Notamacropus eugenii: one gene and its partners. The protein of the gene in region 3 binds, or shares a complex with, the protein of the main gene of each other region. Links are inferred from orthologs where the notes say so. Each region holds a gene or a part of one and is shown on either strand. Other genes may lie near its edges. The genes, in order: MAPKAP1, RGL2, KRAS and phospholipase A and acyltransferase 3-like.

The links.
Region 1: the proteins of KRAS (region 3) and MAPKAP1 are in contact, whole or in part, in a crystal structure (PDB 7LC1), measured with the Homo sapiens proteins. The link is inferred for Notamacropus eugenii from reciprocal best matches to the Homo sapiens genes KRAS and MAPKAP1. Residues at the interface, in NP_001356715.1 of Homo sapiens: Ile21, His27, Val29, Glu31, Asp33, Pro34, Ile36, Glu37, Asp38, Ser39, Tyr40, Arg41, Leu56, Glu62, Glu63, Tyr64, Ser65, Ala66, Met67, Asp69, Gln70; in NP_001006618.1 of Homo sapiens: Phe280, His287, Gly288, Phe289, Ser290, Leu291, Ile292, Gln293, Lys307, Lys310, Arg311, Arg312, Lys313, Gly314, Ser315, Phe363, Glu365, Ile369, Val374, Met377, Leu378, Ser380, His381, Tyr484, Glu487, Ser488.
Region 2: the proteins of KRAS (region 3) and RGL2 are in contact, whole or in part, in a crystal structure (PDB 8B69), measured with the Homo sapiens proteins. The link is inferred for Notamacropus eugenii from reciprocal best matches to the Homo sapiens genes KRAS and RGL2. Residues at the interface, in NP_001356715.1 of Homo sapiens: Ile24, Gln25, His27, Val29, Glu31, Asp33, Pro34, Thr35, Ile36, Glu37, Asp38, Ser39, Tyr40, Arg41, Lys42, Tyr64; in NP_004752.1 of Homo sapiens: Ile651, Arg653, Glu660, Asp661, Gly662, Ser663, Val664, Tyr665, Lys666, Ser667, Ile668, Leu669, Lys685, Lys686, Asn688, Arg689.
Region 4: the proteins of KRAS (region 3) and phospholipase A and acyltransferase 3-like are in contact, whole or in part, in a crystal structure (PDB 7C41), measured with the Homo sapiens proteins. The link is inferred for Notamacropus eugenii from reciprocal best matches to the Homo sapiens genes KRAS and PLAAT3. Residues at the interface, in NP_001356715.1 of Homo sapiens: Ala11, Gly13, Lys16, Ser17, Tyr32, Asp33, Pro34, Thr35, Ile36, Thr58, Ala59, Gly60, Gln61, Asn85, Asn86, Lys88, Asp92, Tyr96, Lys117; in NP_001121675.1 of Homo sapiens: Leu65, Tyr66, Asp67, Val68, Ala69, Gly70, Ser71, Asp72, Lys73, Tyr74.

What each region holds. Positions count from the first base shown.
Region 1 is NC_092872.1:448,188,679-448,195,814, reverse strand, and holds the start of MAPKAP1 (target of rapamycin complex 2 subunit MAPKAP1), read left to right. Parts: upstream 1-4,129; 5' UTR 4,130-4,411; intron 4,412-7,136. UniProt on the Homo sapiens protein: Component of the mechanistic target of rapamycin complex 2 (mTORC2), which transduces signals from growth factors to pathways involved in proliferation, cytoskeletal organization, lipogenesis and anabolic output.
Region 2 is NC_092873.1:89,326,374-89,333,504, forward strand, and holds the start of RGL2 (ral guanine nucleotide dissociation stimulator-like 2), read right to left. Parts: upstream 3,009-7,131; 5' UTR 2,920-3,008; intron 2,606-2,919; 5' UTR 2,557-2,605; coding exon 2,407-2,556; intron 2,368-2,406; exon of another isoform or gene 2,349-2,367; intron 1,808-2,348; exon of another isoform or gene 1,282-1,807; intron 1,171-1,281; coding exon 1,087-1,170; intron 737-1,086; coding exon 558-736; intron 446-557; coding exon 395-445; intron 313-394; coding exon 1-312. Other genes in the region: TAPBP (tapasin), read right to left, coding at 4,685-4,696, 5,061-5,098, 5,381-5,470, 5,574-5,915, 6,188-6,583. UniProt on the Homo sapiens protein: Probable guanine nucleotide exchange factor. Putative effector of Ras and/or Rap. Associates with the GTP-bound form of Rap 1A and H-Ras in vitro.
Region 3 is NC_092874.1:180,489,093-180,496,431, reverse strand, and holds the start of KRAS (GTPase KRas), read right to left. Parts: upstream 3,015-7,339; 5' UTR 2,887-3,014; intron 2,468-2,886; exon of another isoform or gene 2,390-2,467; intron 1-2,389. UniProt on the Homo sapiens protein: Ras proteins bind GDP/GTP and possess intrinsic GTPase activity. Plays an important role in the regulation of cell proliferation.
Region 4 is NC_092873.1:16,507,220-16,514,442, forward strand, and holds the start of phospholipase A and acyltransferase 3-like, read right to left. Parts: upstream 3,001-7,223; 5' UTR 2,634-3,000; exon of another isoform or gene 2,325-2,633; intron 2,072-2,324; 5' UTR 2,020-2,071; coding exon 2,014-2,019; intron 1-2,013. UniProt on the Homo sapiens protein: Exhibits both phospholipase A1/2 and acyltransferase activities. Shows phospholipase A1 (PLA1) and A2 (PLA2) activity, catalyzing the calcium-independent release of fatty acids from the sn-1 or sn-2 position of glycerophospholipids.

The DNA of each region.
Region 1 (7,136 bases), on a different chromosome or scaffold from region 3:
AAGATATATCTATTTTGGACTCCTTCTGAGCCCAACATAACACACCATGCTACATGTTGGGGATACCTATTTCTTTTGGAGAATTACCTTTGTTCTATTTAGTCTCTCAGGATTCTAACCTCTGTACTTTCCTTAATTCCTCACGCTGACCTCATCCCACATATACAATCAATTCCACCTTCTATATCTTTTGCATCTAACCCCTCTTCTCTACTCACACAGCTCCCATTTAAATTCAGACTTAAAAATCACTTTTCACCTAAATTATTGCACCAGTCTCCTAACTGATCTCTCTGTCTCAAGTCTCTCTCCACTCTAGTCTGACCTATATCCTGCTGCTAAATGATTTTCCTTCATGGAAGATCTGACCATGTCAGTCTCCTACTAGATTTATTCTAGCGGGTCACTACTGCCTCTAACATTGAATATAAAGCCCTGTGATTAGCTTTTAAAGCCCTTCACAACTTAGCTCCAACAGATCTTTGCAGACTCATGAATATTACCTCTTGTCCCATTCAGCCAAACTAACTTTCACTCTGTTCCTCACACATGCCACACTCTTTCATCTTCTGTCTTTTTCCTGGCTATCCCCAAGGACTAGAAGGTAACCTGCTTTATGATGCAGCTCAAGTACTATCTTCTACAATACAGCCTTTCATAATCTCCCCAACAGCTAGTACCCTTCCTCCCAAGAGATCTTGTATTTAATAACTTGATATTTATTCTCATATATTTTAATATGTACTTGTTATCTCCTCACTCCCACCCTCCCCATTAGAATGTAAACTCCTTGCCAGTAAGGAGTGTTTCAGATTTTGTATCCTAGTGCCTTACATAATGTCCAGTATATAAATGTTTTCTGATTGATGAGTTGATAGAAGAAACCTAACAGTCTTGTGCCATCAAACAAATATTTGTCCAAAATACTATTTGTGGTATAGTTAGAAAAGGCCTGGTGTTAGAGACATAAGATCCAGGCTTCTCAGATGTAAGCTGTTAATCTTCTTATGATGGGTGGGTGGGTGGGGGGAGTCAAATTGTTTCTGACATTAAGTAGACCTAATCACAGAATGTCAGAGCACAAACACAGAGAGACAGGAGAGGGCAGGACATACCTAGGGATAAAAATGATAGCTTAGATTTACTTAGTGTTTTCAATCAATCAATCAATAAGCAGAGTGCATGAAGATTAGTGGAGTGAAATAAAGCAGGAAAGGTAGGTTTTACTCAGATGAGAGGTCATACATACAAGATCAGGCATTTGAATTTTATGCTATAAAAAATAGGGAGTCCACTGAAAATTTTTTGTGCAGGTGAATATGTTTGTAAACTCAGTCCCAAAGCCCGATGTCTTGCTGCAATATAGCAACACCTGTAGAATGTTAGTTTTAAAAAGATAAGCCTTTGCTTTTGGGGGCAGTAAAAGAAAAAAAAAATTATATACGCTAGAAAGTGGAGCAAAAATAAGAATTTAGTGTTAACTCAGTCCTCGCAAAGTAGGAGAGGCAAACAAGAAAGCAGAAAAGTAACACTACATTCAGAGAGCAATGAATAAAGTGTTCTCTTGAAATGTGGATGTCAGGTTTACTGATTAGTCGCTGATGATGTTTGTAACAAAGTCCCCAAGTATAAGATTCTCTCTTCTTATTAGTGGAGATCAATGTTTCTTGCTTACGTGAAGGGTCAGATAAGAGTTGTTGAGATTGGGAAAGAAGAAAGTTCTTCACTTTCCTTTGAGTCTTCTTTGAGTCATCATTTGAGTATTTTTGGGTGCTTCTGTCTCTGGACATTTCTGGCTTTCAGCTTCAAGAGAGAAGATGGAAAATGCCACTTCAGGTTGCTGAAGTAAAAGACTGGCAAGAAGCTAATAGAAGAAGAGCTGTCAGTCTGGCAGTCTCCATCTTGTTTTTTTCCCCAGCTTGCCTTTGCCTCTCTCTGTCTCTCTCCATGAATTACCTGGCTTTCACTGGTAGAGCTCCTTTTCTTTGTATTTTCTGGTATATAATCTCTGATTTCTGTTTTGCTACTGATTCTTGGATTAAGTACTATGTGTCTTTACTGAGGAACTGGTATCTGGTGGGAAATGAGTCAAACCTTGGATAGAAAACCTGGGATCTTGCTCCCCCTTGATAATTATCAGGGATCAGAAGTTAGCTTGAACTTTAAAACCTTATCCTTCTTAGACTAACAATATTAAGGTAGCAGATAGATATTATTCTAGCATGGTCTCTCTGAGGAGAGCAGTATGCCCTGTGGGCTTCAACTTCTTGCTTCCCCTCAGGCAGGAACTAAAGTTTCCTTTGGAAAAGGGGCTAAAGATGTCAACTCTGCCTCCCTTTGAATCACACAATAACATCCCTATGCTACATATGGGAGGACAGCCCCGTGTAACACATAGGGCCATGACACATATTCAAGTCTGTTCGTTGATTTTTCTGGTCAGAACATCCCCTAGGAAAGTAATCTTGAGTCAGGGACTAAAGTTTTCTCAAATCACAACTGCTCACCACAGAGTACTGGGCTTGGAGTCAGGAGTCAGGAGTCCTAAACTCCTCAAGCTACTTACTAGCTGTATGACCTTTGGCAAGGTGTTTCTCCTTTCTGAACCTATGTTCTTGTTTGGTAAAAGGATAATTGATCTAGAGCTGTAAGGGACCTCAGTGGCTATCTAATTCAACCTCCTTCTTCTACAAGAAGAAAGCTAGGCACAGGGAGGTGCACAATGTCAGAGAGGTAGTGAGCCAAAGACAGAGTGTAGTTTGAAATAGATCACTTCTAAGTCTATTCTGGGCAACTAGGTGGTACAATGGATAGCATGCCAGGTCTGGAGTCAGGAAGATTTATTTTCCTGAGTTCAAATCTGACTTTAGACACTTTCTAGTTGTGTGACCCTGGGCAAGTCACTTAGCCCTGTTTGCCTCCATTTCCTCATCTGTAAAATGAGCCAGAGAAGAAAATGGCAAACCACTCCAATCTTGCCAAGAAAACTCCAAATGGGGTCATAAAAAGTTGGACATGACTAAACAACAACGAAGTATCATTCCAGTTTTAGATATTATGAAACTTATGAAGGGGAAGGGAAGTCAAATCAAAAAGCATTTATATTAAGTGCCCATATATACCAGGCACTGTGTCAATCATGGGGGGATACAAAGAAAGGTAAAAACAATTCCTTCCCTTAAGGAGCTCACAATCTAATAGGACAGATAAAGCTTAACTTAAAAATAAATAAGTCTGTTCCCTGTCTGCAACCAAAGTACCTATGTTAAGAATTCTAGCTTTGAAATCGGAGGAATTGGGTTTAAAACAATGCTCACTTAACTACACGTATGACATAGTAGATCACGTATTTTCAGTGTGTCCAGGGGTGAAGGGTCTGCAAGGTCAAAACTATTTTCATCATGATACTAAGATACGATTTACCTATTAAAATACTTTTACCTTCTCCAAATACATATCTGTATGAGGCTGGATTTCTTCACACATTTCAACCAAAGCAACACATTGAATGCAGCTTCTATGAACCTATCTGTCCTCTAGTAAGCCAGACGTTAAAACGATTTGCTAAAATATATAAAGCAACGCCAATCTTCTAATTTTTTCTGTTTGGGAAAAGTGATTTTCATAAATAGTATGTTATTTATGTTAACCTAATGGATTTGCTATTTTAAATCAGTAATAAGTGTTTTTTCCTAAAAGGTATCAGTTTTAATTTCTAATGCAATAAATAACGTTTTAAAACATATAAAAGCCGTCCAAGATGCTCAGTACTTTTTAAGAGTGTAAAGAGGTCGTCAAAAGACCCCAAAGTTTAAGAACTGCTGCAGCAGAGAATACCCCTGGGTAGCAGGAACAGAATCTGCTCAATCCTCCTGGGCCTCCGTTTCCTCCTTTTAAAATGAACAGATTTGGATCAGATAGTTTTAAAAGTCTTTTGGACCCTAACCTGTGATACCGTGAGCTCCAGTTCCAATGACACCTGTCCGATCTGAAACAGCCAGGGAACTCACTCAAAAGCCGGTGGGGGCGGGGGGGAGGGGGGGGGGGGAGGAGCAATGGCGCATGCGCAGAGCCCCTGCGCCGGTCTGGGTCACAGCTAGAGGAAGGAGCTTTCGCTGCTGGAGCTTGCGCACTGAGGACCTCAGAGTGACTTCCGGTGCGGCCACCTGGGGTGAATCGGGGTCGGGTTCAGGGTGGCACAGGGAAGCCAGAGATGCAGTTCCGGGGCACGGCACAGTGCCTGAGCTTCTGAGCTGTGGCTCAGGCTGCGGGGGCCGCGGGGCCGGTCCGAACCTGGCTTGGGGCAGGAGGAGAGCCCCGGAAAGTGGAGCGGAACCGGTCCTGGGAGGAGGGCCCCGGCCCAGATACCGACCCTCCTCCCACCCCCCGCGCCCAAGCCCCGAGGATTCCAGTAAGTGCGGAGGTGCCGAGGGAGCCGCGGGCCCATCCGGGGACGGGGCTAGTACCGTTGCCCTCCTCCCTACGGGCGGGTGGTGGAGGGAGGGGGTGCTGCGTGAGGACCCTGGAGTCCTCGCCTTGTGTGGGGAGCGGCAGGCTCGGGGGTTGGGCCCGGCCTGGCGTGGGTGCCCGGTCCTGCCTGTCTCTGGGGAGGAGTGACCAGGGTTACCTCCACCGGCACCCTTGCCCCTTGCATTGGGAGCAGCTCTGCCCCCTCCGACCCGCAGGAAGTGAGCCTTCCTCCTTCCACAGGCGCGGGGTGGTGGTGGTGGTGGTGGCCTCTGTGCCACTAGACCCCGGCCTCCTTTTAACCTCTGCCTCAGTTTACTCATCTATAAAATGGGGACAGGGATGGAACCTACCTTGAAACGTTGTTGTGAGGATCAAATGAGACGGTATCTGTGAAAAGCGCGTGGCACGGTGCTTGGCGCAAAGAACGCGCTGTGTATTCTTTGCCCTCCCCACTTTGGATTTTGGGGGTGATGTGGATAGAGCCACTTCTGGGTGGAAGTAGATCGATAGTGAATGCAGGCCGGTTATATTTCAGTGTATCACAGCAACTTGACAGTCAAGTCAGTAGGCATTTATTGAGCCCTTACTGAATGCCGATCACTGTGCAAAGCGCAGAGGATACAAAGAAATGCAGAAATGATCCCTGATCTCTTAGAGCTTACATTCTACTGGGGAAAACAACATACAGCCAACCTTGTACATACAAGATATATGCAGGGTGAAATGGAAGTAATAGGGGAAGAAGCACTAAGATTGAGGACTGGGAAAGGCATTTTGCACAAAGTGGGAGAGTTAACCCCAAACTTCAGTGAAGTCAGGAAGCAGAGATGACCAGGGAGAAAGGAGAGTTCCAAGCATGGGGGACAGCCAGTAAAAGATATCTGGAGTTGGAGGTGGATTGTCTTGTGAGAGACAAAAAGGCCAGTGTTGGACTTTAGAACATATGGGGAGGGGAGGGGGTAAAGCCTAAGAAGACTGGAAAGGTAGGAAGGAGCTAAGGCCTAAAGAGCCTTTGAAGCTAAATAGAATTTTCTGTTTTGTCCTGGATGTGATAAGGAGTCATACGAGTTTCTTGACTAGGGGTATGACATGGTCAGACCTGAACCTTTCTTAGGAAGATCAGTTTAACAATTGAATGAAGGATGGACTGGAGTGGGGAAAGATTTCAGGCAGGGAGATAGACTAGAAAGCTATTACAATAGTCCAGGCTAGGATGATGATTATCACCTGGTTGGTGGTAGTCAGAAGAGAAAAGAAGACATATAGGACACATGTGTGGAGGGTTAAATGGAGAGGAGTTGGAGGCTGGGAACGGAAGGGGAGGAGAGTGAAGAATTGAGGATAACAATTAGTTTTTGAGTCTGGATAACTGGGAGGATGGCTTTTATAGTAAAAGGGAAGTTCAGAAGAGGGGAGTGTTTTGGGAACATATAATGAATTTAGTTTTGGATATGTATTACAGTTGTGTCACAGACTGAGTTAAATCAGGGAAGCATCATTGTAGAGGCAAAACTAATTCTTGGTTCCCACTCACCTTTCTTTTATTCCACTTCACACATACTCTATTCCAATCAAATCAGCCTGCTAGCAAACTCTTCCCTATACTTGACTTTTTTCTCCCACCTCAGGTGTTTTGGTCTTTGTAGAGGCCATCCATATCCCTCTTTGGAAAACAGCTCTCTCATCTTAGCCTCCTACAGTCCCTAGCTTCCTTCAAAACACAGTTCAGATGTTACTTTCATTTGACTTTCCTAATCTTCCGTCTTTTGGAAATTACTTTGCATTACTTTGTCATACCTTTTTTACTTTAAAATACTTTCCATTTAGTATATGTGAAGCGTTTTGCGTAATTTTAAATCACTGTGTTTCTTTCTCATGCATTGAAAACTCCTTGAGGTCAGAAATGTTTTAGTTTAATATTCCAAGTGCTTACTTAGCACAGTACCTTGCATACAGATGCACAATAAACATTTATTGAATAGAAATTGGAAGGTACCATAGAATATAGTATGTTAGAGTAGCAAGGCATCTCATAATGTGTAATGTTAGAGCTGAGAGGATTCTTGGAACTTGGTATGTATACAGGATGTCCCAGTAGTCTTAGTGCAGACTTGGGACATCCTGTATTTCTGTGGCCGAACAGTAGTTTACTTAATTGCTCCACTATTTCATCTGAATGCTTCCTCTGCTAACTCCAAATACAAGCCTGCCATACTTTAGAAGACAGTTCTCTTGAGTTGTTTTGCCGGTCATCACCTGTTGGCCAACTTGCTAGTGAAAAGCAATTTAAGATGACTTTAAGGCTTTTTAGAGGGAGCTGACTCCCTGTTTCTTCTGCTTATTGGGTAAAACTTCAGAGTAAATACTGATTTTAATTTGTTGTCTTTCCACAAAGTTTTCATTCAACCTGTTTTGTTTTCATTAAGTGATATTCCCTTCCCTTCCCCTCTCCCAGCAGCTTTCTAAGTACTAACAAATTTAGAAAGCTGAACTGTTGCGGACATTTGCACATTCATAGAATGAAACCTGCACCATCAATATCTGCTAGATTTTAAGTGTCAAGTATGTATAGTAGGGATTAAACACTCATACCCACATTACCAGCGGTGTGAGGTCTTTGAAAATCACTTCTTTAAGTCACAGTTTTCTTTAAATAGTTTATCTGT
Region 2 (7,131 bases), on a different chromosome or scaffold from region 3:
AGCAGGGTCAGCTGCTCGGCCAAGTGGTCAGCGAGGAACACCAGGACATCCGTGGGGTCAGCAGGGGGATCGCCAGGGGGGACCAGGGGCTTAGGAGGGTCAGGGGCTGGGAGGGCCACCCGGGATCGGAGATCTCTGATGAGATCAACGATGTCCCCCCCAACAACCTCCCCTGCTGCATCCCCTGTCCGTAGCAGGAAGCTCTCAAGCCGGTCAAGCTGACCCCTGACCTCAGAGTCAAAATCCTCAGGGTGAGAGGTCAGCCAGGTTGACAGAACAGAGATGGTTAACCTATGGGGGGAGGGGATCAGCCTGGTGTAAGAAATCAAGCTGGGGTTAAGCCATGGCTAGGGTAGAGTGGGATCAGGAGGTCAAAGGTTCAGGGGTCACTCACCCTCTTGTCCTTTCCAAATCAGCACTGGGACTGGACTCCAGAGCCTCCAGTCTGGAAGGAAGAGAGAGAAGTCCATCTATCCATCCTACCTAAACACCCTGTGGCCTCTGACTTCTCTGGCCAGGTGACTCCTCAGACACTCCAATCTCCCATTCCCACTGACCTGTCAACCAACAATCCAAGTACGATTGGTGTGGAGGTGAATGCCCTGTGGGTGGCCAAAAAGGCTGGCATAAAGGTCACGTCAGACCCAGACGTCTGGGCATCCAGCAGATGTCTGACCAAAGCAGATAGAGTCCCAGCCCGAAGTCGACGGGTACAACGAGGAGGAGGCATAGGAACCTGCAGAAGAGGGGATGGGGTTACTGACTCTTCACTTACTCCCCCCCAATTAAGAAGTCAGATTCAAATGACTACGTGTAAGAGCTAGCCAGTGGAGATGACTTGAGGAACTCTAGGATATCTGTGGCGTCAGCAGAAGAGTCACCAGGTGTCTTAGAAGGGTTAGAAATTGGAAGTATAAAGAAACTGAAGCTCAAAGACAGAGTTTCTTGCTGAAAATAATAGAATCAGCGGCAGAGCAGAGACTAGAATCCAGGTCTCTTGACCCTAGTTTCAATGCTATTTTCAGGAAGTTGGATTGTAGGAGACAAGGGAGATAAAGGCATAGAAGTCAGACAAGAGGATCTCACCAAGGGACTGAGAGGTCGATACTGACGACTTGTGACAGTGAAGGTGGCATCGTCCTCATCTTCATCCCAGACAGACACCGGGGCCTGGAAAGGGAAGGGGTGGGGCCCAGTCAGCACCAATTCATCTGAGCTGACTGAGCTGCCTCCCCACCTCCCCGATCATCCCCCTTTCACTCTCAAAGTTTGCTCCATCACCTGAGGAGGGGGGCAGTACCAGCGGGTTCGGGGAGTGCACCCTGCATCCCCTGCCTTGGGAATGAGGCAGCCCCCCCCAAGCCGCCTCAGTGCCCGGCGCAGAGGGGGGGGCTGCAGTGAAGGGGGACGCTGGGTACACAAGCCCAGATTCTGGGGGCCCCTCCCTCCCAGAGCCGAACCCTTAAACAACGGCAAGACAATGGCAAAGAAGCGGAAAGCAATGGAGACAAGGAGACTCGGGGATTTGGGGAGAAAGAAATTGAAACTTGAGTTACATAGTTTCACTTCTATTCTCCTCTCCACCCCCACCCCCCCCAATCAAGGTAGTGTCTGAGTCTGGGGAATGACCCTGTCCCCTCCCTGCTCCTCAGCCTTATCCCTCAATGAGTTCCCCCCAAATCCTCTGTCTTTCCTTCCTCTCAACCCCCAAGGACCCCTTCCCAAGGTAGCAACTCCGATCCTAAGGCAGAAAGGAGAAGGGGAAGTGGGGTTACTTGGGAGCTGGAGTGGGGGAGGAGAAAAACTCAAAAGTCACGTGGCCCCAGTCCCTCCCCCGCCCAATCCCGAAAAACCAGCCCAGCAGGTCACATCCTCCAACCCAGCCCAGGGACCGAGGAGTGCAGGCCCTCAGGCCCCACACACAGCTCCAATCCCCGGAGAAACTCTGGCATCTGACCCTCCATCACCCAGACACCCAGCACCTCCACCTCCACCCCTGGGCCTCGGCGCTGCCCCTCCCAGGAGAGGAGGAAGCTCCTGGGCCTTTCCCCCAGGCTCTCCCTTATGGCTTAGGGGAGGGGTCACAAATCTGAGGGCTTCCTCCCCAATCCCAGATCAAGAGGATCGAGTTACTGTGGAAACAAACCCCTCCTCCCCAAACAACAACAAGGAGACAGCACAGCAGCAGGGCAAAGGGCCGGAGAGGGACACGGAGGGTGCAGAGTTAAGAGATACAGTGACAGGGGGACAGGGGGGCCGGCAGTCAGATAGACAGACAGGGACCCGGAGCCTGGACCCGGAGCCAGAGACAAAACCAGAGGCAGACGTAGGAGAGAGAAAGAAGAGACCTGCAAGAAGGCACACTTTTCGGGCGCACGTCGCCCTCCAGCTACCCCCAAGTCTCACCTCTTCCTCTTCCTCCTCCTCCTCTTCCTCCCCGCCCACCCCTGGGCCCCCGCCCCCTTCGGGGTCCCGGCTCCTAAAGCCGCTCAGCACGACTCCCCCAGGGGAGGCCCCTCCAGAGTCCAGCAGCAGCCGCAGGGGCCTGGGGAGCATGGCTGAGATCAGGGCTTAGGGAGTCAACGGGGTCGAGCCATGGGGCTGCCTGGGAAGAAACAAGGAAGGAGGGGCGTCAAGGTGGGGGAAGGCGGGGCAGGACCACCAGGGAGGGGCTGGGGAGCGAGGACCCGAGGTCGGAGCCAGGCGCAGCTGCCCAAGTTCATTAGATGCGGGGATGGGGGGACGCTGTGTCGGAGTGGGGGACCAGGGAGGGAGGCTTGGGTGGGTGCGGGCTGGGAGAGGACTTGTGTAGGGGGTGGTATGTGGGGAATCTGGCAGGAGGAGGGCGGAGAGAGTTTGGGAGCCGACCCAGGGGAGGGGACGGCGTCTGGGCGCAGAGAGGGGCTCTGGGGCTCTGACCTGGCTCCGGGCGGAGCAGGGGCGGCACGGGCCTCGGGGCAGCTGTTCCCGTCGGTCTCAGGCCGGGGCCCCGAGTCCCCTCCCTGTCTTTTCCGCCCCCCCCCCTCCCTTTCCGCTCCTCCTCCCCCTCCCTCCTCCTTGCCGGCGTCCGCCCGCTCAGAGGGCAGGAGTCAAATAGGGAAGGAAGTAAAGGACAGGGAGGCGAGAGGGGGAGGTGTGTGCCCAGAGCCCGGACATTGGGTGTATGATGGGCGGGGGGGGTCACCCCATCAGATAGCCAGGCATCCAAGACCCCCCAGCCCCAGCCCCGAAGCCTTCCCTCTTTGGGGAATCCGGTCCCCAAGTTCTAGTTTTTACAGCCCACTCCCACGCCCGTCCAGTTAGGGAAAATGACCAGGGTCCTCGCAGCCAGGAGTGTTCTGGACTGGGACTGTGTCCCGTTAATTCGCGCCACCTCCCTTCCTCGCTCTTATTCGGGAATGGGGCGGAGATGGAATCCAGTACGGGTTTTCCACGAGGCCCGCAGGGTTTGGGGGGCGGAGGAGAGCGTTCGGGTGAGCTACCGTAACCTCTTCCGGATCCCTGGGCTCCGGGATTTAGGCTCTCCCGGGCCGAGGCTCCTTCTTTGGAGCTGGGCGAGCCCGTTTTCCAGGGTCCTTCCATTCTGTACCTGTTTTCCAAACATGCGCACTATTGAGAGGCAGGTGGGCACCTGCCAGGGGAGGGGCTGCGGCAGAACCGTAACCAGGGCGGACAGGATAGGGCTTGGTCCTGGCGCTGGCACATGGGGTCCCTTTCTCTCCACCGCAGTCTGAGGACCAGAATCCTAGCTCCGCCCCCCTCACCTGAGGACGGGCCAGTGGGAAAGGTTGGGGACTCCGCATTCCCAGCTTCCCCAAGCCGCCTCAGCGCCCAGGGAAGAAGGGGTTGCCGCAATGAAGGAGGAGCCTGGGTACACAAGTGCGGATCCTGGGGACCGGTCCTTACTAGAGCTGAACCCCAAAACAATGGTGACGCAAGGGGCAGAGCTCTCCCGGGCTAAAAGAGAGGGTTATCAGCTAGTGGAAGATAGGGAGGGGAACCCACAGGTCCTTTCCCACCCCAGCAACTTCCCCCGAGACCTCGGGTTCATCGTCCCGGGACTTACTTCTGCTGGGGTCTCGACTGATGAATTGAAGCCCCTCTCTTCCTGCACCATCCCTGAAGTCCCAGGTGCCAGGTCTCCCCGGCAACGCTCTAGATCGTGCTAAACTAATCTCCCTCCTTGAATAGCCTGGCCTCAGTCGCTTGAATTCTTGAGAGCCTTTTTAGAATACTTCATGCTGTCCACCACCTTCTCAAGGTCTGGACGCAACTGAGACTTTGAAGTGTCCCCCATTTTTTGCCCAGAGCTCCTGGAAGCCTTCCTCCCTCTCCAGAACAGCCAAGCTTCTCACCCTATTGGTGTGGGGAGAGGCACACACACACACCACACACCTAAAAATTGGGCACCACATTCCCCCACTTCCTCTTGGAGGGGAGGTCTCTACTGTTTTTGCCCTAGGTGAAAAAAACCTAGTTAAACTTCAGTAGTTAAGAATATAGAAGAGATGTGGGGCAGAGGGAACAGGGACATCATAGGATGCATTAACCACAACTGGAACTATTCTGTTTAATCCAGCTTTATTCTCCTGACAGACACACTTTTCCTTAGCCAAACCACCTCCGATCCGCCTTATCAATCGGCCCCTACTCTCTTGGAGCTCTAAGCACCTGTATCTTTTTTTCAGTGAGATTTCTGGAAGCAAGAATGAAAAAAAATGAAAGTGCAGCATCATAGGCAATAGGGGGCATTGGGGAGTTAAGTAAACGAATTCTCTCTCACACACACACACACACACACACACACACACACACACACACACACACACACACACACACACACCCCATTTTACAAATGAGGAAGCTGAGCCCTAGATATGACAAGTAATTTGCCCAAGGTCAGGACCACTAGGAATTTTAGGAGGTACAGTAGGGTGACTTTAAAGACTGATAGTAGGGAAAATAAAAAGTCTATATGGGTAATGGATCAGATGAAATGGGGGCTGAAATTCTATTTTAAGAGAGTACAGTAGGATGTAAGCCACCAGGGAGCTAGTTACCTTTTCCTTTGTATCTGTGGAAGGAGACAGGAAGGATGCTGTGGAGGAGAGATGGAGGTGAGAATGGTGACTGGTTACATACCTCAGGCCTGTGAAGTGTTATGTATTGGGGTGTGTGGGAGGGGAGCATATGCAGAAATTTCTATAAAAGGAGAAGAATGAAGGTGGGATTTTGAAATAGTGAATAAAAATTTCAGCAGTATGGCCCAAGGGTCTTGCTGTTTGGAGGACTGATAGGGTGAAGTTTTAGGGGACTAGCCTTTCCCAGGTTTTTTGTGGGGAGGAGCCCCCAGATTTGAGGATGAGGAACAGAGACTTACCAACCCACCCCATTCCTTTGATGATCCCGAGAAGGAGAAATGCTGAGAGGAACAACCCTACTCCATCTTCCAAGGAAGGCCCAGAGACTCCTGGGGGTGGAGGGGAGATCATATCTGTTCTGTCTGGGATTTCTGCTCCCAGCCCTTTGGACCCACAGGCTTCTTCCTCTCCCATCACCCTGTCCTTCCTTACCTGCCACTTCTAAAGACACCTGGGCACTGAGTCCTTTGGTTTTCAGGCTGGAGTGGTGGACCCGGCAGACATAGCGGGAACCATGCTGCTCCACTGTAACCGTGGCAGGGCGCAGGTATGCTGAGATGCTGACGGTGCCATCTGGGTGATAGCGGTAGCTGGAGCGCCAGGCTTGGCCATCTGCCACCCTGCTCCCTCCTCCTGTACGATTCCAAAACTCCCAAGTCACTTCTAGCTCTTCCGGAGGGTAGAAATGGGAAATGAGGCAGAGGAGCTCTGGAGGAGCTTGCCCTGGGTATGCCCAGACCATAGGTGATGGGGTCAGGGTCACTTTTGGGGGCTCTGCAGGAAGGAGGAAGAGTATTGTGATTATCAGTGCCAAGGAGGTAATCAAACACAGTTATACCATTTAGTTTCATCTGTCTTCCCCTAGGGAGCCTTAACTGACCTCTTCCCAGTCCCCAGAAACCCTTTCTCTTCCCAGTTCAATCTTGCCTTCAATACCCCTAGGGACTCAATGTCTCTCCACACATCCCACTCCCCCTCCCCATCTCAGTCGCAGGCCCCTTTCCCTACTTCAGGTATTCCACTGTCCAGTCCTCTCCCTCACTTACTCCGTATTTCCAGCTCTAGGGCTACTTGGGCTTGCAGGTGAGGAAGGTGGATGGTAGCCAGGTAAGTACCCTCCTGGTGAGGCTGTACGGTGGGCAGCAGGAGAGTCCCATTCCCACTCCATGGGCCCTCTACTCCTTCCTCGTCCCAGGCAGCAAATGCCACTGCCCCCTCTGGAGACCCTAGGGCCTGGCTGCTCAGTCCTGGAGTCACGGCCAAGAGCAGCTGTCCAGTCCCCCGATGCTGGCGCCGCCACTCCAACCCGAAGGGAGGGGGGCCCAGGGAAGAAGGGGCCCCACCAGAGTTGGGAGGCAAGTAAGTAAAACTCAAGTCCAACGTGGCATTCTTACCAGGCCTCACCAGGGCAGCAGGAGAGTGAGAAAGGACCGTCAACACAGCTTTTGGGATGGAGAAATGGGGAGAAAGGAAGAGAATTGGGCATGAATTAGTAGGAATGCAGCAAAAGGGAGAGAAATGAGTGGAGAAAGTGGATAGAGTGAATGAGAATTGGTGGTATGGGAGAAGATTGGGGATGGTAAAAGGAAATAGGAACGTAGGGAAGAATGGGAAAGAATTTGTGAAATGGGAAAAAATGCAGAGAAATTGAATTAATGAGGACACTCCACTTAGGGGGCCCATCTCTCAATATCCTTTCTCTTGATCCAATTTCTATCTTTCCATCAGTTAACCAGGCAGGAAGACCCTTGCACTTTGCCCTGCCCCTGGTCACCTTGACATTAACTCCCTTTCTCAGTTCCCTGGTGACCATGACAACATTTCTGTGCTCCTACATAGTATCGTTTTGTACTCAGTCTTGTGAAGGACAGGGCCCAGCAGATGGGTGCCTGAGATGGGAGGGGTGTATCAGAATCTAGAGCATTATGACCCTTGAAAGGCTAACCCTTCTCAGCCTTGAGATCTGTGTAGTCACTGATATAGCCCTTTA
Region 3 (7,339 bases):
GCCATTGATTTCCTTTATGGAACCAAAGAAAAAAGAAGTACATGTAAGAAAGGCCAATCAATACCATTTAGAAGGGAACTGACAATAATCCAAAATTAGATATCAGTTCCTGAACAAATTACTGAAGTGTGAATGAATGCACATACAAATATATTCAGTGTCTGTACATAAGTGTACATAGAAAAAAAAACACAGAAGGTCTATCTATTTGGCTCACACAAGAATAAGAAATATCCAAACAGATCAAAATCCAAATATTCTAGTTTGTCAAATATACCATTCCCCAGCCTACTCTCCAACAGGTAATGTCCTTAGGCTCCAAAAGTTTTTGTGCCAGGTAAAGAATAGCCTTTTAATTTATCTTGTTCCATACTCATTTCCCTCCAACATGAGAACAAGGAACTTGCATTAGCCTAGTTCTTAGCCACTACAGCAAGGAATCTTGTGCTATTTGGCCCTCCTTGTGTAATGTCAACAACAAACAGCATGGAGAAAACCTACCATGCTTCAAAGTTTAAGTAGCAGTTCCTATGCAAGGCCTTTCCTGATTCACAAAAGTTGCTAATGCCTTCCCAAATTAACTCATATTAATCCTGTGTATACTTTGTATTGTATTTCATATGCCCATGCTATTTCCATGAATAGAATGTAAGCTCGTTGAAGGGGGGAGAGCTCTTTCCTTTTGCTCTGCGCACTAGCAAACAGCACAGTGTGCTAAATAAATGTAGAATCTGTGCCATAACTTCAACTCCCAGCTCCTACGCCTGCCCCCCACCCCAAAACTGCTTACCTTAAAGTCCAAAAAGCAAGTACTAACTCAATGAAAGTTAACCATGAAGTGCAAAATCCTTGGTCTGACATTTATGACCTCCACAATCCTGCTCCAGTCTCCAGATTTCTCTTGTACTACTTTCCTTCATATACTCTATGGTACTGCCAAAATGGAACACTTAAGAGTCCACAGTGGCTGAACAGTCACATGCTTTTCTATCAGTGCCTTTACTCATTTGAGGGTCTTCCCCTCAAATCTACTTATTTAAATCCTTTATATTATAGGTTCATAGTATTTAGAACTGAAAGGGACCTTAGAAATCATCTAGTCCAACCCTCTCCCCTCAGGCTATCTGGGTAAGTTTATGAATGAAAAAATTAAGGTTTAGAAAAATGAACTGAGTGCCCACTGATTCACAGTAACAAGGCTAAGATTCAAAATCAACTTGCTGTTTTTACTAATTTAGCAATCTGGTGTTCCTTGCATTAATTTCATTCAAAGGATAGGGATAGACTCTCACTTCAAAGGTTTAGGGAACTTCGAGGTGAGGAAATTCTCTGTACCAAAGTATTCTCTGCACTTTAGATAGTTTTAGGGACTATGCCAAGTGCTTTACAACTATGATTATCTCATCTGATTCTCACAACAACCCGGGGGAATAGCTGCTATTACTATCCTCGTTTTACGGATAAAGTGAGGTTAAGTGACTTGACCAGGGCCACACAGCTAGTAAGTGTCTGAGGCTGGATCTGAACTTAGGCCTTTCTGACTTCAAGCCTAGCACTGCATCCACTACACCACCCCAAGCTCATCACTGTACAAATGAGAAAATTGAGTCAGAAAGAGGTTAAGTGACAGTGCATAGTCAAGAAAAGAAATTGAGCATTTTAAGGTAAATAATATTCTCTTAATTTACCTCTCTCTGAAAATTCAAGTTTTTAAAACAGGCTACATCTGAACATGTCTTAGGTTCCAAACAACACCTAATTGCCATCAACTACCTTCAGTGAATAAAGTCTTATCATTCTGAAGCTGAGTCCATCAATATGGACATCAATCAATGACTAATGTTAAGACTGTCTGGATATCAATAGCCATTTTCCCTTCTCTAATTCTCTATGCTTACTACTGCACTTGTAAACATCAGCCAGTCTGCAGCTTTAGCTATAACACATACACACACCTGATCAAAAGGCTGCACTAGGTTGTTTTGGCGGCCACTACCAGGTCCTCGCCACTGGTCATTATTGCTAAATGTTGGAGTTCGGTTACAGCTCGGTATTACTGTAGTAACTTCCAGGATGGTGAACGTGTTCTGCGTTCTTCACCAGAGATAACCACTTTTAGTTTGTGGCTGATTTTTTTTCTTGCTTATAAATAAACTTGACTCAGCAAAATTCTCCGGGATAAACCATTTTCCGTTTACAACTCCTGCCAGGTTTAATTCCGTCCACCTGGAGCTTTCTGCTGCCACTTGCCGAGCCACAGAGGGAATTCGGCGGCTGCAGCAGGACCCTCCCCAACGTAACCTCCGACACCGAGTCTCTGCCTACTTCTCAGTTCTCTTGGGAAAGGACCCCCCCCGCCCAACAACACACAAACACACACAACACACACAGAGTCTTTGTTCACAAGGAAGAAGACCACTTAGCGGCGGCGGCGGCGGCAAAAGAAGTTTCTCGCTCGCTCGGGGAGATGCTGAGGGCGGCAGGGGGGACGTCGCCGGGCAGCCGAGGCGGGGAGCCGGCCAGGAGGGAGTGCGCCGACCCACCGACGGGCAGACCGGGGCGCAACCTCCACCACGCCCGGACCCGCCCTCGGGCCGGCCGAGTTTCAGCTCGCCTCGAGCCCGGCCGGCTCTCCGGGGAGGGAGGGAGGAAGGAAGAAAGAAAGGAAAGAAGGAAGGGGATTCCCGTTCAGGAAGCGGCGGCAGCCTCTCCCTGCACCCCCCCCCCCCCCAGCCCGTCCTCGCCGCCGCTCCGTCCCTCCCACCCCCCACCCCCGCGAGGACCCCTAATTCATTCACTCTCCGTCCGCCCCGCCCAGCCTGGCGCCGGCGAGAAAAGGTCGGACCCCGGGCAGGGACTCAGGGGGGAGGGCGGCAGGGCCCGTACCTCTCTTCCGCGCCGGAGAGACGCTGCGTCTCGGGCCCGCACGGCCGCCTGCGTTAACGCCGCTCTCGAGCCCACTCTGAAATGGCGGGGGCCGGGGAGCGCAGAAGGAGCCGGAGCCCGAGGCGCAGCCACCGCTGCTGCTGCCGCCTCTGCCGCCGCCGCCGCCGCCGCCACCGCCTGGGGAAGTCGAGTCCCGAGCGAATGGATGCGAGCCGCGAAGGCCGAGCTATCGATGAGTTCCGCGTTCGACTTCTTTTCGGGCGGGCGAGAGAGAAGAGGGAACGGCCAGGGCGGTGTGAAGAGAGAAAGAAGGAGGGAGTCAGGCGAGAACTGAGCTCGAACTGCTAAGTGGAGAAGGAGGAAGAGAGTTGGGGCAGGCGGCGCACCTCACGTGAGGGCGGAGCTAGGCTAGAGGAGGAGAGGCTAGAGCACTGGCTAACTCCACGCCCAGCCTGACAGAGTAGCGGCCCCCTTCCGCCCCCCCACCACACACACCCATCCATCCACATACACACAGAGGCTGCCAGCTGGCCAATCCCCTTCCGCCCTCCGGCCGCACTCCCGCCCACGCGGCTCTCCAGCCACTCACCTTGTCTCTGGTCGTAGACACTCTCCTCCCCCTCCTACACATCGAGTCGGAGCGAGCCGCCACACCTTCGGGTCTCCCCGCAGGCACCCTCCGAGCTGGAGAAGCTCCCTTGTTCCGCCCCTAGTCTAGAGCCGCGGACGGGCCTGCCCAGGTGCCCCGAGCGCGTCTTCTGCTCTTCGCGTCCTCATGGCCCTCGGCTCTGTCCATCCACCTCGGCGGGCAAAGCCCGGCTCCGGCGCCTCCTCTCCCCGCCCGCAAAGCCTGTCCTGCTGCACGGGAGGACTCTCCGTCCCCGATCCCGCGCCTCTTCCTTCCCCCTCTCTACCTGTGTTCCGTTGGTATTGGGAGCCCCCTCCCCCTTTACAAATGTGGGTGAGCACCGGCAGCACAATTGGTAGTCTTGGAGCTGGGGTCCGCCAACTTTAAAAAAAATAACTCCAATACGAGTTCCCGTTGTTAAACTTTGTATTTTATTTCAGGCATTTTACTTTAATCACGTGTACAGTAAAATTTTAATACTCTTTTTTAAAAAAAATTTGAGTTCCTAATCCGTCCCTACCCCCCTTTTTGAGAAGGCAAGCCATTTTATATAGATTACACTTGTGCGGTCATTCAAAACAGTTCGATATTAGCCAAGTTGCAGAAGAAAACTCAGACCAACAAGCAAAAATAATAAAAGAAAAAAATGTGCTTCATTCATTCTGCATTCAGAGTCCATCGGTTCTTTCTCATAGCATTTTTTTAAATCACAAATCCTTCTGAACTGTTTTGGAAACATGCCTGTATCTACTGGATTCCATAGACTATCAAAGGGGACTGTGACACACCCACACCTTCATTCCCCCTCCCCCCCCAAAAAGCGTTAAGAACCCAGGAAAGAGCGGTTTAGGAGAGGGCGTGACTTGTCCAAGGTCAGCCAGTCAATAGATGTCAAACACTGGAACCCAAGTCTTTGAAGGCTACCTGTTCCCCAGATTTGAAATACATTCCAGCCTCACCTCTGCCTCTTAAAATCCCTTATTTCCTTCAAAGCTCAACGGAAGTGCTACCTCCAGCCTGAAGCCTTTATTATCATAATCTCCCAACTCTGGTGTCCCTCCCCCCTCCCCCTTCTCTCGAGTACTCTCTCCCAACTAAAATTTTCTTGTATTTGCTTTATCAGCATAATTGTTTATCCTCTTCTCTGGGAAGGAACTGTTTGTGCCAGCTAGGTCGAATTGTGGATAGACTGCTAGATTTGAAATCAAGAAGACCTGAATTCAAATCCTGCCTCAAACTGATATTGTGTGTGTGACTCTGGTCAATTCACTCAAACTCCCTTTCCTAACCTGGTTTCCTCATCTGTAAAATGGGGATAATAATAGCACCTATTTTTCCAGGGTTATATGTATTTAAATCAATATTACTTGATTATTAATATTGTTAGTGTGATATAAGAAAATATAAAAATAGAATATGATATAAGAAATGATGAATACAGAAAAGCATGGGAATACTTACATGAACTGATGCATGGTGAAGAAAGCACAATATATTCACTAATTACTAGAATGTAAATGGGGGAGAAAGCAAGAACAAAACGATCCCAACTGAATACTGTGAAATTATAATGACCGAGCATGGCTCCAAATGAAAAGATACCTTGGCTCCTTTTTGCAGAGGTGGGGGATTATTGGTGTGGTGCACTGAATATGAAGTAAGACTTTGATACTGTTTAATATTGCTGAACTGTCTCTTTATTCTTTATCATGTTGAAGAAAAGATAATACTATATTTTGTGTTTTTAGCAGAAGTCATCCAGAAATTAATTTAATCTTGTTCTAAATCCAGGCATCTGTAGGTTGGAAAAATAGTCAAAATGTCATATTGTCACACACTCTCTCTCTCTCTCTCTCTCTCTCTCTCTCTCTCTCTCTCTCTCTCTCTCTCTCTCTCTCTCTCTCTCTCTCTCTCTCTCCTCTCTACCCTAAGGCAACTTTGAGGTAATATTCACAGGAATTTATTCAATTTTGAATAAACCTTCTATTCAATCTAATAGAATAAGTCACTGAAAACTTCTCCTAAGGGCATTCAATTCTTCTTTTGACCACTCCCCACCCACCTACCAGGATTAAAAAAAGCTTTCTCTCTCAGGTAATCAGTATCTTAATCCTTTGTCCTCAGTCTTCATCGACCCCCAACTGTATAGTTTCAGGAACTGCTTTACCCTGAAAGCTCATGATACTCTGACTTCACACATAGGAGCTACCTTTCTCCCCCACTGCCTGTCCCACTAATTGCCTAGTTCCTTCAGAACCTGCAATTTAGGGAGGGCAACCAGGCCAGTCAAATCTTCTCTAAACTGCTCTCCATACTGTCCCAGACTTTCATTACCAGGACCTGATGCCAATCCCCTCCACTCCCCAGGGACCTTCATCCCTTCTTCTTGTCCCCACCCACTCAGGTTTTTCAATATCCTTCTATGTATTCTTTCCCAGTCACTAGAATGTAAACTAGTTGAAGGCAAGCTGTTTCTGCTTGTATTTGTTTCCCCTGAACTTAATAGTAAGAATTTAATAAATGCTTCTTGAATGAAGAGGGCAATGTCCCAAAGTAGGTCACAGCCTTTCTCCTCCAGAGATGGAAAAGCAATGATCTTAACTCCTTTTTTTGGCGTCTAAGTTTGGGTACCATATTGAATTCATATTCTTGGGACCTTAGCTTTTATTATTGACCTTTTCCACACTTTCCTACAGGAAAAAGGACTTTAGACTAGATTAATATTTATTTCTTGATATTTTCAGATGAACAAAAAAAGGGGTTTAATATGATTCCACAGTTATAAGAAAATATCTCTTGGAAAGAGAGTAGGGTGAAAGATATTTGGTTAATATAAGTGATAGAAAAACAAAATATATGCATAAAAATTTTTTTAAAGAGGAGGGGAACATTTCAAGAGTAGAAAAAATTATTATTCATCCCACACATCCAAGTCATCATATCTTCTCAAGACATCTTTTCTTATCAGTTTTTTCCTCTGCATTCTCACTGTCTTACAGTAAGAGTACTATTGGAGTACAGAGTACAAGTCCTCATCCCCATCCCTAGATTGCTACAATAGCCTTCAAGTTCTCTGTCCTCTGATAGACCCAACATATTGCCAGACCAATGTATCTTAATGCTAGGTTTATCATCTTTAATAAATAGCAAGAACCTATGTGAAGAGAAATGGACTAACCCTGAAGATAACAAAGACAAGTTATCTGAATTCCAGGGGCTTGCAAATTACTCGTTCACTTGGACTAGATTCTACTCACTTCATAAACACACTGATGATAATATAATAATTGATATAAATAATATAATTGATATATTATAAACATAATATATATGACATGATGTAATGTAATATGATATGATATATGTTATGATATGATATGATTAATATAACATAATATAATAATATGGTAATCGTGGATGGGAAGATATCTGAAATAAATTGGGGGTCTAGATATTCAGATATAGCCATGCTAACAGAAAAAAAAATGCAAGCAAACCACAGCATAGATCATTAAAGGTCTAAGATCACAAAATCATTAGTTGTAACAAAGGAAATGAAACAGAAACTTTCTCAGCAAATATTGCCCCAAATGAGTGTCTTTCCCAAATACATTCTGGAGAAACAGCTCTCCTTTATCCAGCTCCCCATCTGAAAACTGACAAAAAACATAACAATGTGCTAGCAGCTTTTCTAGCTTCTTATTCACCCCCTTTGTATCTCAACCAGTAGCCCTCTGCTTCTGTTCTGTTCAGTACTATGAATTCAGACACTGCTGCCCTCTTCTTACAGAGGCACTATAGTATATAGCCCACAGAGTCCTGAAT
Region 4 (7,223 bases), on a different chromosome or scaffold from region 3:
AAGTCATAGGGTTGGGGGGAGGAGTTCCCCCTTCAGAGAAACTGGCGTTTGAATCAACCCATTAGGAGAGAGTAAAGCTGATAGAAAGGAGGACACATGCCAGGACCTCCCAGTTATGGGCAGCTCCCTTGGACAGCTGTCATCTGTCACCTCTCATTCTTACAGCAGGGCATGTGCCCAGACTTGGCACTGGGGGTGATGCTAAAGCAAGCAGACAGAGGCGAGAGCCTTGTTACCCAGAATATGGCCTGTGTTGTGCTGTCCTCTACTTTCTCCTGGTCCAAACAGAGAGGATCCAGGGTATCACCCTTCCCCTACTGCCATGGTAGTGCCTCGAAGGCCCTCCTTGGTGACCATGGCAAAAGAAATCTAAACGTCAGACCTGGCCAGTACTAAGCAAAACTGGGAAGGAGGCAAGATTCCTCTTTGACCTTACTCTCTCTTTTGGGACATGATGCAATGCTTGACTAATTCCAGCCAATTCCCATGGGCAAAAGATGACCCAAGCCCTCAACTGGCATCTTTCTCTGCTTCCCTCAATCAAAAAACATGTCCTCTACCATCTATAACTCATACAGGTTACAAACGAATCCAGAACATTAAGAGAAACTAGTTCAACTAACTCTTAGTAAGGTATCACAACTGATGGTGACTTAAATTCTTATCCCTTTCCCAGGAATTTCCCTCAGAGGCACACAGTCTTAAGTCAAAGGAATGAATCTCTAATTATGAAATTCCTGAGGATGGTACATCCTGATATGTTTTGGCAGGGAGCCCTCCCAGTTCCCTCAGATTTCCCCATGTGGGCCAAATCTACTCCACTTTTTTGGTGAGGTCCTCTGCATTACCCCACCTCCTGCTCTGGCTGCTGTCATGGCTGCTTGGGAGACTCATCTCCAGAAGACTCTGGCAGAACGCTCCTGAGCACCCAAGTTATTCCTGTCCTATATACAGTGCACTTTGCCTCTGGAAGCAGTGAGCAGTTTGCACCTCTCAGAGATGCCAACCCTTAGGGCTCTACAGGCTCACAAATCAAGAGAATGGGAAGAAGGATGAGAAAACATCCTCTTTTCTTTAAATATCAGCAGAGGCCTATGGATGTGATGGAAATTCTGACAGCCCGTACTCCAAGATCCCCCAACTCTGACATCCCATGCTGAGACCCCCCCAAATCTGACATCCTGTTCTAAGACTCAATGCTGACATTCTGTGCTCCAAGACCCCCCAGCTCTGACATCCTGTTCCAAGACCCCTTAACTCTGACATCCTGTTCTAAGACCCCTCCAAGTCTGACATACCATGCTCTGAGACACCCCCCCCCCCAACTCTGACATTCTAGCTCTGACATCCTGCACCACTCTCCTCTGGGTTAAGCAGGTTAAGACATCTCGTATCTCAAGACCCTCTCCCCCAGCTCTGACAATGTTCTCAGTTTCACTTCCACTGCCCAACTTTTGTACCCTGTCCTGTGTTCACAAAAAGGAAAGTCTTTTCTTTCTTTAAGCTTAAGTTTCAGACTAAAGCAAAACTGAAACCTGGAAGGCTTTGAAGCTCTGGTCACCAAGTGAGTTGGCAAGCCCATCTAGAACAAACATTGAGCCATCTGGTATGAGGCTTCAGGCCTCCCTGACCTGTGTTCCTCCAGATCTTGCTCCAGTGGCCGCACACCCATTCTGTGCTCTTGCTAAAGAAGGTTCTATTTCTCTGCTAGCTCTGTCTTTATCCAGCTCCATTCTATGCCCCTATTGTCCTGCGACCAGCCCACAAATGAATTCCCGATACTTCCTCTGAATAATAGGCAGATTCTGTATCTTGCTGGGCAGCCAGCAGTGAGTGCTTGCCTGGTAAACAAAATGAAAAGAAAGCCTGGTCTCACGTTGCAAGTGAGGCCAAAGGGCCCTCAAGAGCCGTGGCTTTAGGGTTTACTAACCTCTCTCCCCTCAAGTCCCCACCTACAAGGGCCAAGCACTAATCCTTACTGTAGTGACTTACAAACGCTTTAAAAGTACCTACTTGCATCTCTGTCAGCCCTCAGGGTGTGGATGCCACTTCCTTAGCCGTTGGAGGATTCCTGAGAAGAAATGGTAAGAATCTCTAGTGTCGATAACAGGAAGTAAGAATAGAAGGTCTTGGTGGTGAAAGGGGAGGTGAGGGTGGGGTCCCTGAGGCCAGCGGAGCTGGAGGCTGGACCCCGCCTCTTGCTTGCCAGAGCCTAGGCACTTGTTCTCCATCCCTCCCCTCCTGGTCCCATTTGGCAGCGAGCAGGGCGTTCCTTAAACCTTCATTGGACCTACATGGACCACTGAGAAGAGGAGCATAGATACCTGGGAGGCGAGGGCTGAGGCTCCGGCCTGGCACGATCGCGGCTCACTACTGACAGCTGTCTGTGCCAGTGGGAACCTGCTGACTCCGACACTTTCTGCCAGAAAGCGCTCTCTGGGCGAGAACGCCTCCCCCAACGGGTGGGGAGGAGGGGGAGCTGGGCACTGCCCTGGACCACAGGTGCCCTGCCCCGCCCTTCTCCCCTGCCTGCTCCAGTGCAAAGATCAATCATCTAGAGCCGCCCCTGGAGGGCCCAGAGGACACATACAAACACACCGAGAGCACGGGGCATCCCACCTTGGCCAACCCACCTGAGCTTCCTGGGCCTTGACTGATGATCCAGCAGCGGCGGGGATGACTCCAGCAGGCAGGACGTCTGCAGGAGGTCCGGCGCACAGCTGTGACTGGGTCAGCCCGACTCCGCCCAGACCAAAGAGCGCAGCTTACCCTGAAAGCGAAAGTCGCCTCCGTGACAGCCGAGCACAGGTGGCCTCGTGGTACCCTGGGAGCGGGGATGCTGGCCCAGCCTGGAAACTCAGCTAGTATGCAAAGGTCCCAGCTAGCCGCAGGGCTGCGGCTCCCACCCTCCCGCCGGCCGTGGGCGGGCTTGGCTCTGGGCTCGGACATGTGGACAACGTCGTGTACTGACCCAACCCTCAGCCTGGCAGCCTGCGGGGAATGTCAGCTGTGCTCTGAGACCGCAGCCCCTCCCTTGTAATCTCAGACCTTCGCCAGTGTAACCACCCCCACGCCCTAGCCTTTGCTGGAAGACCTCGGGATGGGGAGCCCAGCACCTATTCAGGCAGCCCTTTCTACTCCTGGGCGGCTCGGAGAGAAGCCGACCCTGCGCTCCCCAAAGCGGTCCCAACTCTGCCCTCTGGGGCCACATCAATCAAGTCTAATACGCCCCGCGCCCCCATCCCACTCCGCTCTGGGACAGCCCTTTCAGTCCACTCCAACCCGGCCTTAGTGGACCCCATACGTTTTCTCTTTTCCAGGCTGGCTTTTCCCAGGTCCTTCAAGGGAAAGTAAGGATGATCATGGAATCACAGGTCTACAACTGGAAAGGACCCTCCAACCTTCACATGTTACAGATAAGGAAACTGAGGCCCAGGGAGGGGAAGGGACTTTCCTGACTAATGTTAAATAACATGATTTCCAGATGGAATTTCATCAGATTACCACGACCTTGTGATTTAAGAGCTATAGGCATTATTTCCATTTTATAGATGGGGAAACTGAGTCTCAGAGTGGTTATGTAACCTGCCCAAGGTCACACAGCTGATGTCTGAGAGAGGATTTGGACTTGCATCTCCCTGACTACAAGTACAGACATCTAGCTCTAGGTCATGCTGTATCCCAACTGATCTTCCTGTGCGGAGGTCCTCACTGCCCTCCTCTGGACAACCTGCAGCTCAATGGTCTTCCACATGTGCCCTGACCAGAACAGATAACACAGCCCCCTTCTTCCCAACTCCCAGGCCAGGCCTCACTTAAAGCAGCCTAACACAGCATAAGCTTTCTTGGCTGCCCTATCTTATCTATCAAACTATGGGCTCATATTGAATTTGAAGTCCACTGTGACCCCTGGATCTTCTTCAAGAAAACTGATAACTAACCAGAACTCCCTCTTCTTATACTTAGGAAGTTGATTTTTTGAACCCAAGTGGAAAATTTACATTTACCCCTAATCAGGGTCATCTAACAAGATCAGTTTTCTGGTCTTCTTGGGATCTTTTCTGAGTGAAAATACTGAATTTGGAATAACGGGTTCAGGGGTAAATTCCAGCTCAGCTACTTGCTACCTGTGTGACCTTGGATGTCACACCTTCCCTGGCCCTTGGTTCTCTCATCTGTAAAATAGAACAGTTGGACTGGGCGACCTCAAAGGTCCAGCTTTACGTCTTTATTCCTAAAAAATGAGGATCTAGGGATCACGAGCTTGGAGAAAAGAAGGCTGAGGGGGGCCACGTCAGGCATCTTCCAGCATGTGTCATTCTAGTGCAGAAGGCAGAGTAAGACTGGCCATCAGGGAAAATTTGGCAACAATCTGAACTCCCCCCCAAAAGGGGATGAGATGCCTCAGGAGGTGGTGGGGACCCCTTACAGTCTCTGAGCACAGTCTGGGCAGCAGGTTGGCTGGGTTGGATACCCAGGGACGTCCTCTGAAGCTCTAGGCTACTAGCTAGCTCTCCTGGCCACCTCTGCCTCCTCGGAGGCACTGGAGTCTCAGAGGCTGTCATTGGTGTTACCAGAGAGATTGGCTTTGAATATTGTCTCTCAGGGACCAGCCCAGCTATATTTGGCAATACTAGGTTAGCCTCGGGTCAATTTTCCAGGCAAAGGATCACTCCAAGACTATCTAAAGTGGTAGAGAGATTAGGGTGTCTGTTAAAGGAAAGCCCATCCCAATAAAAGTAGCCTTCTTTGAAGGGTAGTCTTTTGCCATTTAAGGACCTCTACATTTAAGGTAGAGGTCCTCATCCTCTCCCAGCAACATCCACCCTCACCTCCCTGCTCCCCTAGCTCTGGACAAAGGTTGTCCTGGGCACTATACCCACCTCTGCCCCGTCCTCTCCCTAGAGCTGCTCTAATCTGCTACAAAGACAATAACTACACACACATTGAAGGCTGGTCATCAGTCAAGTAGCCAGGTGGTCTTGGCAATAGAGCACTGGACTCTACAAAGGCATGAGGATGGCACAGGAAATGCCATGGACTGGGCATAGCCAATGGGCTAGTTTGACACAAATGTGTTTGAGATAGGTCAGAATCAAGTCTTAAAGGCTTTTAAATGCAAGGTTGGAGTTTGTAATTTGTGTCAGAAGCAACAGAGAGCCACAAGCTCCTGGAACAAGCCAAGAAAAGTGACTGGCTGTGTCCTTTACGATCACCAATCCTAACACATAAGAGCTGGAAACTGCCCAGAAATGTGGGCCTGGGGACAGCCCCTGTTGTTTCACACAGGGGAAACAGGTCAAAGGGAAAGGGTTTGCTCACACTGCCTCTAGTTCCCTTTGCACCTCACCACATTCCTCGTTCTGTTTCCAAGTCTTCCTAGAGTAGGTGCCCTAAAATGAGCCAGCAGCACACATGGATTGGCAGAACCACACATGCAGGGGGGAGGGTTGTGTCTTTCTCAGAATGTCACCTCTCTGTGGGCCTCTGGCTCCAGCCAAACCAAGTGTAGGCTAACACAGCCACACGCTGTCTGCCAGATGAATAGATATCCAGCCCTCTGCCCTTTAAACTGGGCACATAAACGCTCTGGAGACCTCTGCCCAGCATCTTCATCGTCCACATTTGGCAGTATCCAGAGCGCTAGAGAGAGGTAAGGGGCCATTTTTAGAGGACTATCCCACTCACTTCTCCCCAGCTTTGAGGGAGATTAGAGTGGTTTCCATGGGCATTGCTCATCCCCCTGGAATCACTAAGGACCCTGGGATCCTGAACCAGACCTGAAAGTTTAGGGAGCAAAAATGGAGGAGAGTTCTTGGCCCTCCTACACCTTTCTACTCCAACCAGCACTAAAACCCCCAAAGCCATCAGCAAGTTCAACCAAGAGGAAGAAGCGTGGGCTGCGGTCTTCTGTCCCCAGCTAGGTCTGAAAGGTGCACATGTAACCCTTCTCTACAGGATCCTAAGGAACTAACAAGGAAACTTTTGATTTCCTCTTTTTAAACAACACCCATTAGCTCAATAATGTGTCAGGTGAGGAGGGCAGCTAGCTAGGGAGGAGGAGGAGGATGGGTCATCCAAGTTTCCTAGACTAAAGAGCTAGAAAGGACCTAAGAAATTTCCCAATCCAAACTCTTGATTTTACAAATGAGGAAATGTTGGCTCAATGAGGGGAAAGGACTTTCACCAGAGTCACACCCCAGGGCATGCTGTCCCTTAAGTTACAGCACCTCTCTCAGGGGTCCTGTTTCTTTGAGAAGTCTCCAAGAGTGAAGAAAAGGCAGAATGCAGATGCAAACAGGTTGTGGTCTTTATTCCATTACACAATCTCACAACTCTCAGTGTATGTGATACAGAGACATGCACACTTCTGGTTAGAGTCCAGCGTACGGATGGATGGATACACACTCATCTGATTGCACTTTTCCAAGCTAACAAACTAAAAAACAGACAACCTGCTGGGTGGGAGTCCGTGTTGGACCAAAGTCACCTGCAGCCTACGTGAGAGGCTCCCTGGTAAAACAGAGGGCTGACAGGTGACCCTCTGACCAGTATCTAAATCAGGAATCTTTGGGAATCAGACGAAGTGCATTCTTTGCTTTGGCACACATTGGAATCCCCACATGGACAACAAAACAGTAATCTTGGTCTGTTAAGGAAAGATTTTTCAAAGTCTATTGAGAGCCCCTCAGAGCTGCCTTCAGAGCTACTGGCCCCTGCAGGGCAAGCTCCCAGAAGCCAGGTCATAGACCTCTCCTATCCCTGATTCTATTTAGGGCCTAGAGGGACATTTTCAATGTTTGAGCAACTGGAGTAAGAGGATCCAGCTGGTTTTCTAATAAATAAAACAAAACAGCAGCCCAAGTTGATTTAACCAACTTCCTAGTTCTATTCCCATCAGTCAGTGACCAGAGACAGGATGAACGAACGGCACCATGACCTCCTCCCTGTCCAGCCCAGGACACCTTGGGTGGGTGGGGTCCGCATCTCCTGAGCTGCCACCATCCACCACCAGGGACAAATTAACCCTGGTCACCACCTATTTAGATTTGGCACTAGGACATCTATTATGACCCAACTTCTCTGCTCCCCAGGCCCAAGAGGTCACTAGAATATTTCACCCTACTCTTAGCTCCCAAATGTACCCATCATCCTGTATACTAGATTACTTTGAAGGTCAAACAAAAAGTTCCTATTTCAAAATGTCAAACTAGGAAGTTCAG